2 linked regions of the Astyanax mexicanus genome follow. The protein of the gene in region 1 purifies or fractionates together with the protein of each later gene. This does not show direct contact. Links are inferred from orthologs where the notes say so. Each region holds a gene or a part of one and is shown on either strand. Other genes may lie near its edges.

What was found.
Region 2: the proteins of vps33a (region 1) and tgfbrap1 purify together in Homo sapiens (co-immunoprecipitation; 5 studies listed by BioGRID and IntAct, with this or other methods). This does not show direct contact. The link is inferred for Astyanax mexicanus from reciprocal best matches to the Homo sapiens genes VPS33A and TGFBRAP1.

What each region holds. Positions count from the first base shown.
Region 1 is NC_064429.1:3,075,377-3,085,832, reverse strand, and holds the start of vps33a (vacuolar protein sorting-associated protein 33A), read left to right. Parts: upstream 1-5,178; 5' UTR 5,179-5,231; coding exon 5,232-5,333; intron 5,334-8,642; coding exon 8,643-8,708; intron 8,709-10,456. Other genes in the region: D-amino-acid oxidase, read left to right, coding at 867-949, 1,352-1,469, 2,341-2,439, 2,847-2,957.
Region 2 is NC_064412.1:43,277,430-43,288,088, forward strand, and holds the start of tgfbrap1 (transforming growth factor-beta receptor-associated protein 1 homolog), read right to left. Parts: upstream 5,391-10,659; 5' UTR 5,310-5,390; coding exon 5,144-5,309; intron 2,060-5,143; coding exon 1,361-2,059; intron 1-1,360. UniProt on the Homo sapiens protein: Plays a role in the TGF-beta/activin signaling pathway. It associates with inactive heteromeric TGF-beta and activin receptor complexes, mainly through the type II receptor, and is released upon activation of signaling.

The sequences.
Region 1 (10,456 bases):
TATCTGTTTCTCTGTAAACTTTATTTTTCTCCTCCATTCACCCTGTTCTTCAATACTCAGAACCTACAGGAGAGAAAACCACCACAGAGCAGATATTATTTGGTGGTTTGTGGGTTTTTCTCAGCACTGCAGTTACACTGCCGTGGTAGTGTGTGTTAATTAGATGCAGCAGTGCTGCTGGAGTGTTTAAACACCTCAGTGTTACTACTAGCTAACCAACCAGAAATATCCAGCCAACAACATTCTGTAGGCACCTTTCTAAGGGCAGCATCCTGTAGGCAGTATTCTGTGGGCAGCGTCCTGTGGGCAGCGTCCTGTGGGCAGCGTCCTGTGGGCAGAGTCCTGTGGGCAGCGTCCTGTAGGCAGCGTCCTGTGGGCAGCGTCCTGTGGGCAGAGTCCTGTGGGCTACAGGGTGTTTCAGCTGTAGGTAGGAGTGTGTAATAGAGTGGAGGTGAGTGATGATTAAACACAGTTATTAAAAACTCCAGCAGCACTGCTGTATCTGGTCTATTTAAGAGAGACAAAACTTACATTTAAACTATATGTGATACTAATATGAGTGAATAAAGCTTAAATAGCTTATAAACCTATATATAAATACACAATAACCCCATTGTAAAAACAATATTTTAAAAATGACTGCTGTAGAGTCAAATCAGTGGCTATGATAATCGTCTGAAAGTGACAGAATTTTTGTTACAACCTTGTCGTTACTTGTTACTGTAGCTGCTTTAGTTTTAATTTTTAATAGTTTAATGCAAAGTTTGCATTTTTTATTTGTTTTGAACAAATCATCACCCTGAATCCTAAACTCACTGGCAATAATAATTTTTTTTTATTAACACTTGTCTTTTTTCACCTGCTAGGTAGATGCTCCTTGGATAAAGCACTGGATTCTTACACACAATTTTACAACAGGAGTTTATAATTCTCCTTATATCATCCCTGGGTAAGTTACTTCACCTGCGCAATGGGTAAACAGGGACCACCATTTCAGTCAGGTTGATCACAATAAATATATATAACTTTATTTACTACCAGCAAAACAAAATACAGCTTAAGGCCAAATGACAAGTTTGGTCAATTACCCAGAGAGGAACTTGAACCAAAGACCCCAGCACTGATAGGTGAATGTGTTAACCACCAACCCCCTGTGCAGACTGTTTAGATTCTACTGTACAGTCTGCAGTGTGAAATGTGTGTGAGCTTAAATTCAAAAGTAGCAAAATGCAATAAAGAGTGAAAGAATTTAAACAGATTTCATATGGTCCTACACTTATATCTTTAAGCTACTTTTAAGACACCAGAAGCTGTAGATTAAAGAGGATTTAACTGTGAACTTCATCTTCAGGAGTCGTTCGGTGACTGTGGGTGGAATTTTCCAGCGGGGAAACTGGAGTGAGCTGAACAGCTCCATCGACCACAAGAAAGTGTGGGATGAAGCCTGTGAACTGGAGCCCAGTCTAAAGGTACAGAGATTACAGTAGAGATTTTTTATTTATACTGGGCTGATTGTCTGATAGGATGATAGGAATGTGGGCGGGGTCTTCTTCAGTTTTGAGTAGCATGTCCACTGCCAGTGTAGTGTAAAGTGTATTTATTGTGAAATTACTTTAATATAATATGTTTATTTTTCTTGCCAGTCCATAGAGCTCATACAACAGTTGGACACATCATTAACAGCATCTGCCAGATATTCAGTATTTCCCCCTTGTGCCACAACAGCAGATCTAACCGTTTGACCTGTGGTGAAGGTGTTGTGTGGTATTTGACTGAGATTTTTAAGTCCTGTACGTTGGGAGGTGGGCGGGGAACATCCCACTAGTTTTTTGGAGATGTTCTGACCGAGTAACCTGTTTCGCTGTGCTCCCCCTCTTTTTTATTGTTCAAAATATTTCACAACCCAAACTGTGTATTCACAGATGTGTTTAAGTCAAACACTTGAGTAGAATGGAAAATTAGTTGGTCTGATCCAGTAAAAGACGACTCTGAATAATGTCTGTGTCTGTCAGATGCATTCTGGGATGGAGTTTATTCATTGGCTGTATGCATAAAGGATTGGTTTTGGACTACAGGATCCAGGTGTGATATATCAGATGTGAGTCTGAATAAGTGACATGGGCAGATGCATTCTGAAGTGGAGTTTTTTCGCTGACCATCCAGAGTCCAGACCTCAACATTGTTGAATTTAGTGTATGGTGTTCTTACTGATGGTTTAGTCTGGAGATTAAATGAACAGAGGATGGTCCTGAATGTTTATGCAGTACTGTACAGTACATGCATGTGCTGGAACTTACCAACATCCACTTCTTTACATCAGTGTGTCCTGTCTCTCCTCAGCATGCTCAGATCATACAGGACTGGACTGGTCTCAGACCAGTACGCAGTAAAGTGAGGCTGGAGAGGGAGAAGATAAAGTCTGGACTGAACACGTTTGAGGTGAGTTCTCAGAGATTTTTGTTTCTGCTCCTAACTCAGGAATAATACTGCGTTAAATACCTGTCAGTTTAAAGAAATGTCATTTTGGACAGAAGCCTTTCTATTGGTTCATTAACAAAGTAAAAAGTACAATCTGAAGTGTTTAAATAATGTAGGAAATGTAGGATCTTTTCTTTATTATTTTCCTTTTTTATCGGACAGTAACAAAATCTATGGTCACCTAATATGAAGTAGTTCATTATATAAAAAAAGTTCAGTGTAACATATAAATGTGAAAGGATACAGAGCATGGACTGTTTATATACAGTATATCTTTTCTGGCAGTTTTACAGGAGTTTCTAATGCAGAAGTTTCAGAAATTTATCTTCAACTGCATCTTTCACTTTTCCTGTGCTGTTTTCCATTAGGTCATCCATAACTACGGTCATGGAGGCTTCGGCCTGACGATCCATCGAGGCTGTGCTGAGGAAGCTGCTCGACTTTTTGGAGAAACCCTCCAGCAGAAATCTAGACTATGATCCTGAAGATTCCAATCATTTGTCTGAATCTAGGGTGCAGTTCTTTGTCCACAGTTTTAGACGTGATGTGAGAGTTCACACCTAAACCTCATCGAAATTAGACGAGGCTAATATGACAGTATGATTTCTGTCATTCTAAATTGTGTTAGAATACTAATACAGTATTCTTTTCTGAGTATATTACAGATATGTTATCAGTGCTTAAAGAACTGTGACCAGCAGCACATTTCATTACAGAGAGTATAATTAGTCCTGATGAATTAGATGAATTAGCACTGTAAATCACTATAACGGGCATGGGCGAGTTTTGGAATAGCATTTTAAGGATCTCTTTCTACTGCTGCATTTAAAAAATGTCAAAATACCATGATGCATATTGTGATTAATAAATATGTCATCATATTCTCATCATATTGCCTATCTGGACTCAAAATAGATAGATCTGATGCCTAGTTTTTGGTCTAAAACATACTTTTAACATTCATATAAGGTATATATATAACTTTTACGTTTTTCTTTTATATTCTTCACTATTTTTCCGCATATGAGTAGAATTGTAAATAAAATCTCTGTAGACATATCTTGACATGGTGACCCATCCACTGAATAAGGTAGAAATAAAAATTAGAAATATCATATAAAAATCATTGACATTCATTTTTTTTGTGCTTAATCATAACACTCTTGTGCTTGAACTATGACTTACATTATAGTGATGTAAAAAATAATAATTAAACATCTGTTAAATTAAACATACCACAAAAAAGATAGAATGTTTGTGTCTTTGTAACTTACACAATCAGCATGGGATCAAATAATTATTACTTGATTATGATAACGCAATAAACAAAAATGATAAAGAAAAATGAAAAAAGACTTATTTTTTAGTTTTTCATTTTATTTTTTCTTCTTCTTTCTTTTTTGAAACATAATTTATTGTAGATACAGATTTTAATCCAGTGTGGTGAAGGATATCTGTGCACACAGACACTAAACTCATGTAGGAGATAAGGCAGCTCTCTATCCCAGCACACAGAACTAGACCACATTAGAGGAAACTTACACTGTGATATAAATATCTGACAGTTGAGTTTTGTCAGGGTTTAAATCAGTTAGTGGTGCTCCTGACCGGGTCGAAGCTGAAAGTCTGAACCGGAGTTTCACTGCTGGACACCTTAAGGGACAAAACTAAAATGTGTATTTTAACTTTATTATTATGCATTTATTATGCAAAAAATATGTTTAAAGCATAAGAATTATATATAAGAGATAACTTTAAAATGATGAGTTTCTTCGATTTTACCAAACTGAAAACCTCTGGAATAGGATGGAGGATTACAAGTCATCAAACCAAGCTGAACTGCTTGAATTTATGCACCAAGAGTGGCATGAGTTTATCCAAAAGCAGTGTGTAAGAATGGTGGAGGAGAACATGCCAAGATGCATATAAACTGTGATTAAAAACCAGGATTATTCCACCAAATATTGATTTCTGAACTTTGTGGTCTGAAAGCTCTGCTTCTTTTTTGTTATTTCAGCCATTTCTCATTTTCTGCAAATAAATGCTCTAAATGACAATTTAGAGGGAGAAATGTTTTCTGTAGTTTATAGAATAAAACTACAATGTTTATTTTACTTAAATATATATCTATAAATAGTAAAAAATCAGAGAAACTGATTCAGAAACTTTTTCTAGAGCTGTATATGTAAATCTGCGGCTTTGCAGACAGACCCCTCACCTATTAATTTAGGAGTGACTCGCGCGCTCCCTCTCGCGGTGCGCGCTTATTACAGCATTGTGATTCTAGCAACACTTGGCAGGTGTCCAAAACGATTTCCTGTCAAAATAAAAGTTCCCTTAAATGTAATAAAAATCAGTTTTGAGGCTGTAAATGAAATAATATGAACTAGTTTAATAATATGTACAGTTTAAAACTGATTGAAAGCTTTTCGAAACATATAAAAACGTTTAAATAACGTAGATAAAAAGTAAAAAAAAAGTAAGAAATTGTACTAAAACTAGTGTTGCTGGGTAATACAGTTTTGCGCTGCGACTTTATTAATATATTGTGACGCAGGACACATAACTCATAATAAAGTAACATAATAAAGAAAAATATATTTCTTTTAGCTACTGACAGCATGTTTTATACTGGGCGAATAGTAAAAAATCTCTAGATTTCAGAGGTTTGACTGTCCTAAACCTGAAGCCGCTCTGCCCACGTGACTCTCCCGCATCACATGATGAGTGTGGCGCTGCTGTGAGGAGGAGACATGGCCGCGCACTTGTCTTACGGCAGAGTGAATCTGAACATTTTGAGGGAAGCAGCGCGGAAGGAGCTGCGGGAGTTTCTGGATAAGTGCGCGGGGAGTAAGGTACAGTCCGGGGCGGTGGGTACGGGCTTACAGAGCGGTGTTTACTAACGTTAACTAACCATCACAGCTCCCATCAGATCACCAGCCCACCGTGTAGCTACTGTTTAATATCATAAAATAACACATATATACACTGATTCACAGCTGTCATATATAGATATAGATATATATATATATATATATATATCATTATCTTTATTTATATATAGCAGGAGTTATTCACATACGCGTGTTTAATATGAAACAGTGTTAATCCTGGATACTACACTGCTGTTTAATCATGTACTCAGTACACTGAGGAAGGGCTTTACTCTGTTTTCATTTCACATCCGCCTATTTTACCATATTAAAGGAGAAATCCAGCACGACATGGACTTCAGTTGTAGTGAAACACAATAACTAGTACGAACTGTTCTCAAATAATCCCCCTCCGTTCTCCCCCAGCATTTCCAACTACCAAACACAGCACTTTTAGCCGATGCTCCCAACAGGTTTACCGTGGTAGTGATTGGGGCATAGCATTACTCATGCAGAGAAATCACTATCTTTACACCATTAACAAACTCAAAGTAGCTCCACACTTCATTGGTAGAACTGTGAGGGCCCTGACATTTAAAACAAGGCACTGAGGCCCTGTCCACATCAATCTGGATATTTTTAAAAAGCAAGGTTTTTTTATATCCCCATCCACTAGGGGCGGTTTATATGGCCCTAAAATAATATCATGATATTTCATGGTATTTTCAAATTAACAGTACTCTTGCCAATACGACAAAACACTGAATTAAAAAAATATATCTTTTTCAAGAATACATTTTAATTTTTATATTTGCATATTATATATCACACCCCTAATTGAGGGATTTAAAAATACAGTAATTTTATCAGCTTTGTAACAGAAGACAATGATCCAGAATGTTATGATACTAATAATGCACTCCATATATCTCCATATATCCAGGATTAAAGTAAGATGAAATGAATCTGGACAGATATAATTAAAAAACAGTGTGAATTTTTATTTTGCTAAAAATTGCAAAAAAGTAGTACCCAGGGGTGGGTGATCTGGCACGATATTTCAGGGTATAATATTGGTTACGATATTCAAAAATGTTGGCAATATTATTGCGTATGATAAGATATGGCACACCCCTACTGTCCACACGGAAAGGTCATACTACTAAATACTGAAAGAAACTTCCACAGGCGATTTCCAACAGTTGTTTCCCCTTCGATGCAAGGTCGAAGCATTTTACTCAAAGACACAAGAGATTCTCTAGACATTCAAGGTTTTCTCGTCACTCCTCAGAAACAACTATTTCATTTTCAAAATATTCCCACCAGGTGCTTGTTGGTCCAGGCCTGGTCCAAAATCTCCCTTCGCTGTAAAGTTTGTATCTCTGGACTGGAGTATTGAGAGAAAAAACTGCATGCAGCTCATTTTGGTGCCTCTACTGTGTTTGGTAAAGTGAGAGTAACCTAAAATGAAGCTGTGAACATGTTAATCCACCAATTGCAGAGAGAATTTCAGCATTTTCAGAGGTTTAAAAGTGCCCAGGGAGTTTAGTAAAGACACTGTTTATAGACAATTATGATATCAAACTCAAAATTTAGATTCGAATTGAATCAGTTCGTTTTAATCACAGAGCTTGTTTAGTACCCTGCTTTAAAATCTGCCTCAAAACAAAAAAAAAACCTTTTTGTGCATTTTAGTACACACCTAAGAAACTGCAAGCAGCTGATCTGAGATCAGAATATTTTGTACACAAATATTTATAAATGAGTGTGGAAAAGTCTGATCTGTGGTCTCAACTGAGTTTGCTGTGAATGTGACGCACAACATTGCCACGCTTAAAAAAGATGCAAAGCATTATAACTTTTTTGTGGAGAAAAATCACACACATTACACAGCTTTATTATATATTGCTCTTAATTTGTCAAACAATTAGCATTTATAAAACAGAAAAACCTAAAAAAGACATTGATCTGCTGTTTAAGATTAGTTTGATCTACACTTCCTGGCCCAAAAAAAAAGTCATCACCAAAAAAAAAGGTCACACATTAATATTTGGTTGGATGGACCACGTTTAGCTTTGATATCAATAAGCTTCTGCAGTGTCACAAGCTTTATTTCAATGCTGATCTCTCACCGGCTCTCTGTCTGAGGTAAAGACGAATCTGTCAGACATCTGTTAGGAAACAAGTGTAGTGCACACAGAGCCTGAACATCAGTGACGATGCCACCCCACACACACACACACACACACACAGAGAAGACAGAGTGTGTGGAGATGTGTTGGCTGGTGAACGTATTCTAAAGAAAGGCTAATAGGACTTTCTCAAATCTAAACGCCTTTAGAGAAGGTTTAGAAGGTTTAGAGAAGTTCAGTCCGGATAGACTTTGTTTTAAAGTTTCAAGGCTCTGATGTGAGAGTATTTTGCTTTAAGCCAAATGAGCGATAAGACCATCAGCGTGAATGAGCCGGTATGTCGTCTTTGTTTTAAAGCAGTGGAAACAAAGCTAAAATTTAATTTAAAGCACAAAAATCCAGCCCAATTTTCCAAGCTGAATATTATATATATATATATTGTTCCTCCAGAGAGATCCTGCCTCAAGCCCCACAGTAAACGTTTTGGTGTTCCTGCTCGGATTTTGTCTGACAGTTACATTAAAAAATACATTTGTAGCAAGAGCTCTGGACTGCTGGGCATCTGTGTCTTTGATCATATAATGTATTAATGTATTAATGTAAATGTTACTAATCTATTTTTTGTTACTAGTAATTTTATAATGGGAGCTCAATGTCTGCTCTTAATAATACAATGTTAGTTTAACTGTAAAATGGTTTAATAGTATTATGCTAGTATATTATTACTGTGGCACATTGTCTTAAAGCACCTTTGGGAGCGGAGAAGCAGGGAAAAATTATTTTCTATAGTGGCACTTTAAAATGACTATTATCGTTTATCTCAATAATTTCTGGGATAATATATCGTCCTGAAAGTTTTGTTATTGTGACAGGCCTAGCTGAACCTAGACCTGACCAAGTTTATACTGGTTATCATGTTTCACTACAACACAAGTCTGTTTCACTCCAGATTTCTCCTTTAACACTATTTTAAAGACCATGCTCCTGTACCTGCTGCAAAGGGAAGACTGTTGTGTTGTAAAAGACTGTAAATCTTGTGTAAAGTCTGGGAAAGATGCTTTTAAGAGAATGGACACCATTAACATCCTGCTTAATGATTTGATGAATTGATGTTTTATAAATAAGCTATTTAATCATTTTTTTCTTCTGTTTGTTTTAGGCTATCGTCTGGGACGAGTACCTTACTGGACCATTCGGTTTGATAGCTCAGTATTCCTTGTTAAAGGTGAGTATTCATTTTAACCATCTTAAAATGTGTGGGGAAAAAAATTGGACATCCCAAACTGCAATAAAATGTTTTCAGGGAGGTAACACCTGGCCTGCATGTTATAGATATCTTAAGATATATAGTTTGCAGCACAGTGGGAAATTAAAACACATCTCAGTTGCATGTTTCGTGAATTTTACAAAAGGTCACTGTTTAAAAAAATATTTTATTTTATTTAAATTTTCTTTATATGTATATTTTGTGTAACCGGGTAAACATGTCTTCTTTTCACCACTTCACCACGGAGTGCTGGTTGAGTTCAAGATGTGATTAGTTGGTGTGACAAAGCATGATTGCTAAGTTAAAAAAAATTAGATTACTTTTTATAATATAATACACCACATGTTGTGAACTTGGATGAATGATGACCCTTCCACATGAGTTTAAGAGTGTTTTGGCAAATTAGATTCTTCAAAGAACTGTTAATTCAAGTAAACCTTGAAAAAGATGTGCTATAGAAATGCAGTGTATAAATTTTAAGATGCACTATACACCACTTCTGAATGTCTGAAAGAAGCTGTGTTCTGTTACTATCATTGATCCCAGAGGGAAATTCTGGACATCCAGCAGCAGGTATACATAGTACACAAAAGTTACAAAGAAGGTTAAGATACAGTGATAAATATAAAAATCCAATAAAATATAAAGTATAAAAGTACAGTCTTTAGTGTCTGTGTAATGAAGTTAGTGCTTTTGAACATAGTAGACTATGAACACAAGTTGATGTGCATATTGTGAGGATAACTGATGACAGACATACAGAAAGTGCAAATACACAGTTTACAATAATTATTTAAATTAAGCAGTGCAAACTTGTAGATATGTAAACAGTGGACAGTAAATAAACTAGTAGTGCAGAATAGAAAACTATAAAAATAATGTACATAAGGCATCTTTGAGAGTGCCTCCCCAACACACTACAGCGTAGAAGAGGACACTGGCTACCACAGACTGTTAAAACATCAGCAGGAGTTTCTGCCAGATGTTGAAAGACCCGAGCCTTCTGAGGAAGTACAGTCTGCTCTGTGCCTTCCTGTAGAGCACATGTGTCAAACACAAGGCCCGCGGGCCAAATGTGGCCCGCCACGTCTTTTTATGTGGCCCGCGAGAGCTTGTAAAATCTTAGTGTCTATAATAAATAGGTCAGAAGCGTTCTTTGACCAAAAAATACATTTCCCACAATGCTTGTCGATTGTATTACCCGCAAAGTTACGGCTTACTGCCACTACACGGCAGTGTAGTCATTGATGTGGAAACCCTGCCGGAGGGAAGGTGTAACTTCGCGGGTGGAATTGAGACATGTTTATCCCATAATATCCAGAAAAAGACAAGTTGATGCAGACGGACGGCTGTGCTTCAAGGCGAAAGACCGGTATGCATTTTGTGTTACTGACCAAAATAAACGCTTTTTAGAAGAGATATAAATTATGTGTAAATATTTATAAGACAATAGCTGATAAAATCTGTTTTAATGAGGTTAATAAACATCACTGTGACATCGCTAGTCGCAGTTTCACCTCAGCAAAGGACGAGGAGGTGAATCACTTATCTAACCAGCCTTTACTGATTTCTGCCCCCAATAACCCTTTCAATAACCTCCAATAGCCTTTAATAGTCTCCAGTAGCCTTCAACAGTCTAACCTTGCAGCCGTGGTGTGTTCTAAACTCCGTAGTTATAAACATCATGAGGTTAGCAGCGCGATAAC
Region 2 (10,659 bases), on another chromosome or scaffold:
AAGAGAGAAAGACAGGAAGATGGCACGAGAGAGAGAGAGCAAGAGAGAAGGAGAGAGTGCAAATGCGAAAGAGAGAAGGAGAGAGAGCAAATGTGAAAGAGAGAAGGAGAGAGTGCAAATGTGAAAGAGAGAAGGAGAGAGTGCAAATGCGAAAGAGAGAAGGAGAGAGTGCAAATGCGAAAGAGAGAAGGAGAGAGTGCAAATGCGAAAGAGAGAAGGAGAGAGTGCAAATGAGAAAAGAGAGAAGGAGAGAGTACAAATGCGAAAGAGAGAAGGAGAGAGTACAAATGCGAAAGAGAGAAGGAGAGAGTGCAAATGCGAAAGAGAGAAGGAGAGAGTACAAATGCGAAAGAGAGAAGGAGAGAGTGCAAATGCGAGTGAGCGATAGACTGCATGAGCACCTGAGAGATTTCAGCGATGCGGGTGCTGTTTGGATCATCTGAATGATCTGCAATTCTGTGCACACTCTCTGCTTTTGTGTGACAGGGCACCATTGCTTTTGCCAAGTTTCATGCAAAGAAATATCTGAACGATGTTTCTGTGCTGGTTAGATATGGTAAGTTCTGTTTGATATGATGTGTAAGATGGTCTGCAAATTACTATGAATGTCAGAACACCAGTACCAGCCTACGGGACATTTTCTAACTCTGTGCATTTGAATTTTGCTGTAATTGCTTAATTCCGTGGTTCTGTCCGTGTTTTCTGCATTACAGAAATCATAGGGCCATAATGCAAATATATCATTATTATACAAGTGGCATACAATGATCTTAAAATATTAAAGTTTTGTTATTTGCAGTTTCTGGTTCAACATATTATCCCAAAAAATATGATAGTTATCATGATAGGCCAAATTTGTGTAACTAATATTTTTCACTATTTCAAAATCTACCCATATTCTCCACCCACTGTTTCAGTTACCAGCAGAAATAATGACACAATACAGGATCATGATTATGCAACCACAGCATGCCGTATCACACTGTCTGATTTGAAGACACCTTAATATGTGGACAGGAATCCACCACAATTGGTCCTCAGAGCTGCAGAGAATGACCACTATGAGATACTGGAGCTGTAGATACAGTATAGTATAATAACATTTGCTGAGATAACTTAACTTTAGTGTTTGTTTGTTTGTTTACCAAAAGACTGACTATCTCTGAGCAAATGTAAAAATTTTACATGTGACTAGAGTGGCACTGCCGAGCTAAATTTATGACTGGAATTAACTGCTTAAATTGCACAGCAGTGGCAAATATATTGTCCTATATTCTATAAAATTACATAATCAACAAAATGCTTTCAGTATGCTTCCACATGAGTGACAACTGTTTACTGTTCCTGGTGCTGAACTCACCAAGTCCACCCGGAGCAGCCAGTAGGAACTCCTCCCTGCCGATCCTCTTAACGATGGGCTTCCTCTCCTCACTGTCGTAGGGAAACAGGTCCTGCGAGGCTCCGCTACTGTAGTTGAGGATCATGTACTGCGTGGGCAGTGCCAGGCACAGGAAGTAGCCGTCCACGCTGAGGGCACAGGGCTGCTCAGGCGTGGTCACCTCCTTCAGCATCTGGACCCGATCCTCGTGCACTGTGAAAATCTGGACGGCCCGTCGGCGCGCCGACACCACCGCCATCTCCACACAGAAGGGGTCGGCCGTTACTGGGTTCTCATTGACGCAGAACGCAATCACATTTTTCACCTTGGCTCCACCAAACGGTACAGGCTCCAGAGTGACCATGTCCAACAGAGAGACGGTGCCATCACACAGGATAATGAGACGCTCCAGAGCCGAGGCGGCCTTCAGCTCGGCCACGGGCTTCTTCAGACCCAGAAACTTCTGCAGGAGCTTCTGGCTGCTGTAGGTAAGCCTGCCTTTGGTGGAGCGTTCTTCCAAAAGGAAGTGATGGATAAAGCAGTCGTTGGTGCCCACGTACAAGTGCTGCCCGCAGCATTCTATGCACTCGATGCCGATGCGCACCTTTTCGCCCATCAACTGCTCCCGCTCCACAGCGGGCACCAGCTCAAAGGCCTTCACACTCATGCTGATGTTCACATCTGCTTGGAGAGAGGAGGGAGATATGAATTCAGAGTCAGTTAGGATGCACTGGAGTGAATTTCAATACAGACTTTCTTTAATAAATTTGCAGTATATGTTTACTTAGAATGTTATATACTTGTATGTAAGGATAGGCCTGCTATGGTTAGTTGTTATCAACTTGCTGTACAATACATGCACAAAAACGCAATAATGGGTTAGATTCCAAAAGAATAAGCATTAAAAGGACGAGTAAAAATACTTCAATAAGCTGTATTTTAGCCAATTGCGCTATTCTGTTCTCTTTTATGCTCTGTCAAGGGTGAGGGCGAGTCTACTTGCAACTTTTAATTGGTAAAATAGTCTAGTTTGCACAGAGAGCAAGTTATCAATAGCTTAGCCTCTATATAGACAGAGCCAAATATGTAAAGTAAGTGTTACTTACACAAGGATGATACATGTTTTAAGAAACAGCATGTTCGAAAATATACCGTAAAATTTTCAGGCAGTACATTTTGTCAAAAATCTCCAATGTACTATTACTACACGTTAAATCTACATTATTATATAATCAGCATATTATCAGTACATCTGTATAACAGAGGGAAAAAAACGTTTCAGTCTTCTTAAAGCCATGTGATCTACTATCATTTCAGTCCAATCAAGAAGAAAGTCAACAACAACCTGAGTGGGCTTGTACGTGTTACTGGGACCCGGTTGGGCTTCCCAAATGGGTCAAATCATTTCAGCCCACCTCAATCTCATGTGTAGTGTACAACTCAGACCAGCCCCATGTGTAACCTCCTCCTGCCCTCTTAACTGCCCCTTACAAGCACAGTTGCCAGGTTTGTGGTTTTCCCGCCAAATTAGGCTTGTTTTAAAATCCAGTCAAGTGGAATTTTAGGGGTTAGGGTTAGGGTTTTTTGGGTTTCCATTTAAAAATTACATTGGCCGCCAAAAAAACTAAAAAGTGGGTGTTGCCTTGGATGTTACGTCAACACGGCGGACAAACGTGTACACTAAAATCTTCCAATCTTCCAAGATTGTTTACAAAATAAAGAATCTAGAGAACATAACAACATAAAGGAGGACAGTGTACAAAAGGAGAGCAGGAGAGAGACGGAAAGAGAGAGGGGGAGAAAGAGGGGGAGAAAGAGAGAGAGGGAGGGAGAGAGAGAGAGAGAGATGAAGGAGAGGGGGAGAGATGAAGAAGGAGAGGGGGAGAGAGATGGAGAAGGAGAGGGGGAGAGAGATGGAGAAGGAGAGGGGAGAGAGATGGAGAAGGAGAGGGGGAGAGAGATGGAGAAGGAGAGGGGGAGAGAGATGGAGAAGGAGAGGGGGAGAGAGATGGAGAAGGAGAGGGGAGAGATGGAGAAAGAGAAAGAGAGGGAGAGAGATGAGAGAGGGGAGAGAGATGGAGAAAGATTGGGAGAGAAAGGGGGGGGGAGAAAGGGGGAGAGATGGAGTGGGAGAGAGAGAGGAGGAGAAAGAGAGGAGGAGAAAGAGAGAGAGATGGAGAAAGAGAGGAAGAGAGAGAGAGAGAAACAGATCAAGAGAGATGGGTAGAGAAAGGGGGAGAGAGAGATGCAGAAACGGAGGAAGAGAGAGAGAGAGAGAGAGAGAGAGAGAGAGAGAAAGAGAGAAAGAGAGAAAGAGAGAGAGAGAGAGAGAGAGAGAGAGAGAGAGAGAGAGAGAGAGAGAGGAGAAACCACAAATCACCAGGCGATAAAAAAAAAACTGTTAAACAGGAGAGAAGAGAGTTCAGGAGAGTTAAACAGCAATACTGATAATAAACCCCTTATAAACAAAATACTAAGGGGTACACTCAGTTGTTTTGCCATTCGCTTCAAATGTGTGACAGATATATATTTTGGGCTAGCTTAAGCTTATGAAGGGCAGGTTTTAGACTGACTTTGGGCTGGATATTTTTTGTTGGAACTGGCAACCCTGCTTACAGGCATCCATATGTGGGGTCAACATGAAAGCTGTTAACATAAAATGTACTGCTTCCCAGTTGGGCTACCCATACACAACCCGTATGGGGACACATTACCTGTAAAGGCTTCTTCACACCTAACGATCCTAAATGAGTCTCTGTAGTAAACACTCCCTGACAGCTCTGACAACTGAATGACAGTAAGGCTAACTGTGTGAAGCTGCTAGTCAGCATGCTAACAGAGAGCTAGCCTGCTGGCTGTGCTGATTAGCTAACTAGCATGAGACCAGAGCAGCTAGATAATTACAATATTAAAACAATAATGTAGCTGGCTAACAGTGTGGCCATGGTCGAACCCTCATCTTTAATAAAACACCACGGAAACCAGGGCCAACAGCTTTACACTGGCACCACAACACCAAAGAAAAGCTAGCGTGCTAACTGTTAGCCACAGCTAGCGGAGTTCAGCAGCGCAGTTCAGTGAATCGCAGTGTTCTGACGAATTGTGCAACCTTGCCAAAACGTGCTACCACAGGGTATCCTATAATAATAATAATAATAATAATAATAATAAGCCAAGGACACTATAAATAAATAAAATATTGTACGTAAATAAAATACTAAGATATAAAAGTATGTGTACTATCATAAATATATACATTTACGTAAAGTCAGGTAAATTTACAGATAAAAAGAAAAATAGGTAACCCTAGCTGAGCCTTAAAAAATATTTTGGTCAGGCTAAATTATATAAGGTTGATCATATAAGATAATACAAACAGTAGTAGCTATATCAATTATAGCTAATACCTGTACCTAGCTATGTTATCTTCTGGCTATCTGGATGGCCTAGACATGGATAAATCACTGTATGAAGCTGAATGCTTGCTAGATAAATACGAGATAATTGAGATCAAGAACTATTTTATTTTTTAAATTTATTTATTAATCATTAACACTTAAGCCAATTATATAATGCCAGTAAGTCAAAATTATGCTGAAAATAAAGTGACACGAAACAGAGGAAAACAAATGGGGAACAATTCAAACTCGCACATATCGCTGGGTAGCACAACTCGATAGAACACCTGCTAGCGGTGGAACTTTAATAAGCGGTGTTTTAACACCGAGATTTCTGCTGAGAGCCACAGTGAATAAAGCTCCGTACCCCAGCCGGTAGCGCCGCGGTTCTGTCCGGGGAGGCTGCTCTGCTGCTGGGCCTCCCTGTTCTCCCGTCCCCGCTGCTCTCCGCTCCGCTCCGGCTTTCCCCGCCCTGCTGTTGCTGCCGTAGAACCGGACCGGACCGCCGCTTCCTGCGGACTACATCCGCTCATGTGATAAAGTTCCGTTTAGAGGGCTGTTATTAAATACTTTAATGTGCCGACAGCCTGACTGTCATTCAGTTCACACATTTATCCCACACAGCCCGTTTTTACTCTGTTCTAACACATTATTTAACCATTCTTTGTTTTAGGGTAATACCTGATTTTGACCTAATGTCAATAAAACTTCATTACCCAGCGGCACCCCCTCGGAACTTTCTCTACGGAATCCCTAAAGGGACAAGGCGTTTATACAACCGTAGTAGTAGTAAAGTTTTTATTGGATCTACGTTTGTCCCTGATAACTAGTATCTAGTTATTTATTATATGATCCCTAACGCTGTATAAAAGTATCTAGTTATATTTAAGAGATAAAAGCAGACCGTACACTGAAACAGCACAGAAATAACAAATTTATTCACATTATTTGTGCTGATTTCTACACTGCAAGAACGCAATACGAGCTGTAGTTATAGAAAAGAAACAAGATATACATGTTTAATGTAAGTGATGTTTAATACACACAATACATATACAATCATAACCTTAAATCAATGTAAAACCAATTTGCACAAATAAATCAGTTCTGATGTCGGAGATCAACGTTTCAATGCATTAACAGATGGAACAATGATCATTATTCAATATACCGTAATAAGTACATTATTACACTGTCAGATGTATTAAAATGGTAAAAAAGTATATATATATATATATATATATATATATATATATATATATATATATATATATACAGATGTAAACATACAATTAAATATCCGTTGTTTAAAAAAAATGGAAATGTATGAAACCAGATCTATCTGATGTACTTTCGCACAAATTACTTCTACTCAAAAAATATTTTTTTACTAAAAATATATTTCACAAGCTAAACTGTTTTACAATATATAAAGCTAATATAAAAATAGATTTAAAGGTACAAATACACAGTAAACATGCAGATAATTTAGCATATGAGTGATGTAGTGACAGTATAGAAATATATTTGTTATGTACAATAGCTTGTACGTTTACAGTGTGTACAGGAATAAAACTGAAAATAAGCAACATGATTTACCACACACACATTTTCTGGGGAGTGGCTTTTAGATTTTCACTATAAAAATGCAATTATAAATATACACCACATGAGGGAGCCAGATACCCTTTTTATTACCTCAGTCCTGTATTTATTAATACTTACTCTTATTTAGTGATCACCCCGCATGTTTAGATCTAATACCATATATTTCAATACAGTGTTTGAAATACACTGTAAATATATATCCATAATGACCCTAATAGTATGCATAGTACTATAAGCAATGTCTTAAAGGTCTCATTCCATCAATGTTGTGGTCTCTAGTATGAATGAATGCTCAGGTGTTTCTATTTAGCCCTGTTTAGTTTACTAAATTAGAGGCTTGTGCTCATAAATATTCATACATGCAAATATATCGCCTTTGATTGGCTAACGGTACTGGAGCAGAGAACGTCCACCTGCCTTCCCCTTTTTTACAGCTCTAAAACTCAAAGGAGGAAATGTTTTCAGAGATACAGCCTTAGATGTAAAGATGCAGCACTGAGTGCTAGATAAAGTTAACCCTTAAACTTCACTTAACATCAGACTGAGGAAAGCACATCTTCCACCTCCCATCCTCACCATGTTCTACAGAGGGACTGTAAAAAAGCATCCTAAACACCTGCATGGGAACTGCAACACTTCAGACCGCAAGACCCTACAACGGATAGTGAGGACAGCCGAGAAGAGTCTCTCTTCCCTCAATCACCGAGATCTACACCACACGCCGCATCCGCAAAGCCACCAGCATTGTGGACAACCCCTCCCATCCCTCACACGGACTCTTCGCTCTGATGCCGTCCAGCAGAAGATACAGGAGCACCCGAGCCTCCACTACTAGACTCTGCAACAGCTTCATCCATCAGGCAGTCAGACTCCTCAACACACAGAGGCACAGCTGAACCCCACCCCACCCATCACACACACACAACACACTCACACAGAACTGAACTGAACCCCCACCATTCTTCAGACACACCCACAGAGAACTGAACTGAACCCCCCCCCCCCCACCATTCTTCACACACACACAGAACTGACCCCCCTCACCATTCTTCACACGCGCTCACACAGATCTGAACTGAACCCCACCCCCACTCTTCACACACACATACACACACAGAACTGAACTGAACCCCACCACCACTCTTCACACACACACACACACACACTCTCTCTCTCAGCACACAGAGACTGAAATGAGCCTAAATTAGCTCAAAGGGAATAGTGAGATAGAGGAGGAAAAGTAATTAGTTAGTTAAAGGATGTTAAGAGAGTAAGTGCTCTTTGAAGAGCTCTGTCTTCAGGAGTTTATTAAAGATAGTGAGAGATTCTCCTGATCTGGTAGTAGAAGGTAGTTAGTTAGAGGTGTTAGGAGAGTAAGTGCTCTTTGAAGAGCTCTGTCTTCAGGAGTTTATTAAAGATAGTGAGAGATTCTCCTGATCTGGTAGTAGAAGGTAGTTAGTTAGAGGTGTTAGGGGAGTAAGTGCTCTTTGAAGAGCTCTGTCTTCTTAAGTTTCTTTAACAGCACCTTCCAGCATTTTATTCTGACTAGAAATGTATCTTCTGTTGTATTTATTGTAGTGTTACAGTTTTATGTTGCACTATTTTTACACTTTTGCATCTTATTGCACTATTTTATTGTTGTTCTATGTTACACCGTGGTTCTTGAGGATCGTAATTTTGTTTTTCTTTTCGCATTTGTGTTCCATACATTCTTGAAACAGCTGTTCACTGAACATGATATGTTTGATACATCTGAACCTGAATCAAAAAGACACTGAGTTCAGATTTGGCAAAACTCGAGACAAGACAAGTCTGATCACTGATCCTGATAGGGCAATCACTGACATCCATACGTGAAACCCATGGACAAAAGCTTTTGGGTCTCAATTGGTCGGATCATACAGGCCCCACATGTGAACGTTATTTAGGTACACACTACACATTTCTGCTTGATGCCAAGGATTGAATCTAGCCAAACTCTTATTTAAGAAATGATTATCAGTCTTTAACAACATCATACTCCACAGAATCATGGCTCTTGACTGTTTAATTTCCTCTGTAGTGTTCTGGTAGCAGTGGTGGTGCTATCCCCTGACTGGCAGACAATCAATCAAGATTCTTCCCTTTTCTCAGGCCGTGACTCTCTGAGCTCCACCTGAGGCTCCATGGCTGTGTCCTCTTCTGTGTTTAAGATGAATGATGAGCAGCTAATCTGTGGTGGGTGATGGAGAAGAGCTGACTTCCGAAACTTCCATTAGTCTGGCCGGACAGAGGACATGAGATCCTGAGGGTCCAACATCCGGGAGAGAGATGGAATTAGTTTTAACTGAATTTATGGAGAACAGAAAATATGAAACATTATCATATTTGGCTAGTGTGGCTAATGACTCTGGCAGATCTGAATGAAACAGCCTAACTAAAGGTAGAGAGCCAGAAGTAAACATAGACACGAAGGCAGCCTGAAACACCAGCATTCACCCACTCCACCGTCCACAAACCTGAGTGAGCGTGTGCAGTGGGAGAACAGCAGCACCAGCCCAGTTTACCACAATTCCCTCTGTCCATGAACCCCTGGATCTGCAGCCTTATCCAAAGGGAAAAAACATTAATAACATTAATTAAAAGATAAGCTAAACAAGTAAGTTTTTAGTCTAGACATAAAGATTGAGACTGTGTCTGAGTCCCGAACATATTCGGGGAGATTATTCCAGAGTTAGGGAGCTTTATAAGAGAAAGCTCTTCCTCCTGCAGAGCGTCTCTGAATTTTAGGAACTACTAAGAAACCAGCACCCTGAGATCTATGTCATCATGGTGGTTCATAATAGGAGATGAGGTCTCGCAAATACTCAGAAGTGATCCTGTGTAGGGCTTTATACTTTAGAACCTGAGTGCATCTGAATTTGTATGATGATCTCTGTCATTACTGACTTTAGAGCATTCTATTTTAATGTTGTCTACTTCAGTAGTACAGTACTTTAGTAATGCTGTGTCTTAGGGTTGCAACGGTATGAGATTTTCACGGTATGATAACCGTCTCAGAAAATACCGCGGTATCACGGTTATCACGGTATCACAGTTTGTTACATATATTATTAAACTGACCCTTAAAGAAATTACAACAAAGGTTTTTTGTTCAATTAACTATTTATTGTAGAAACCTGGAACAACTATATAGATAATGTCTCCTTAAAAAAAATAAACTGTACACCATTAGGTGAAGGAAACCAGGTTTTTCCACTACTCTTAAGGACATTAAGGGTGTATATAAAAAAATATATATATATATATATATATATATATATATATACATACACACACACACATACACACACACACACACGTGTCACACATTACATGTGCTCTAAAAAGTAAAGATCCTGTATTTAAAATATTCAGTACAATTATTTAAGTTTAAATTATTTAATATCTGATAAACTGAGCCTGGGTCAGTGTCTGATCAACAACTGTTGTAAACGTCCATTTTACTGCCAAGTTGGTATATAACCAGATGCTGCAGAAAGAGGGGATTTATTTCTGACATGATCCTCACAATAGAGATTTCTATTTTAAGGCTTTCACAGCGAGTCTGGTTTTAACATATGAAAAACAGGCACGTCAGAATTTAAAAATGAACGCATGTAAATGAATGGCGTCTTTCACATCCAGTCCGGCCAGGACCTTTACACGGACACGTGAATCCATCGTAGCACGCACTTCACGCCTGTACCTGCGTGCCCAAATTTCGGATAACTCAGCGCTTTTGCGGGCGCTTACCGCATGGGTTGTGCACGACTACAAAGAGGTTTTATTTAGGTTCAGATTAAAATTATAAACTAAACACATACTTTGCGCTGCACAGCGGGGTGGTGTTCTCGGAGATGGGAGAACAGGTTTGACGGATGTCCACCTTTAGCTGTGACTTTACGGCCACATTGATTACAAATCGGATAACCATCCTCGGGTGCTCTCGGCGGGTATCTGAAATAGTCCCACACTGCTGATTTTAGTTTAGCCTTTTTTTAGGCGGACGGAGATTTGTTTAGTCTGATGCATGTTCTGCCGTTCTCACCGCTGTGTGCTGAGAAGCTGAAGCGGAGCAGAGTTGCGCATGCGCGGGTGAGTTTCTCCGCTGGCTTGCCTTTTACCGGTAATAAGCAAACACACACGGTATGATAACCGTGCATTTTAATACCATGGTATACCGTGAAACCGGTTACCGCTGCAACCCTACTGTGTCTTATACAGTATGACCAAACACAACCAACTCTTATTAAA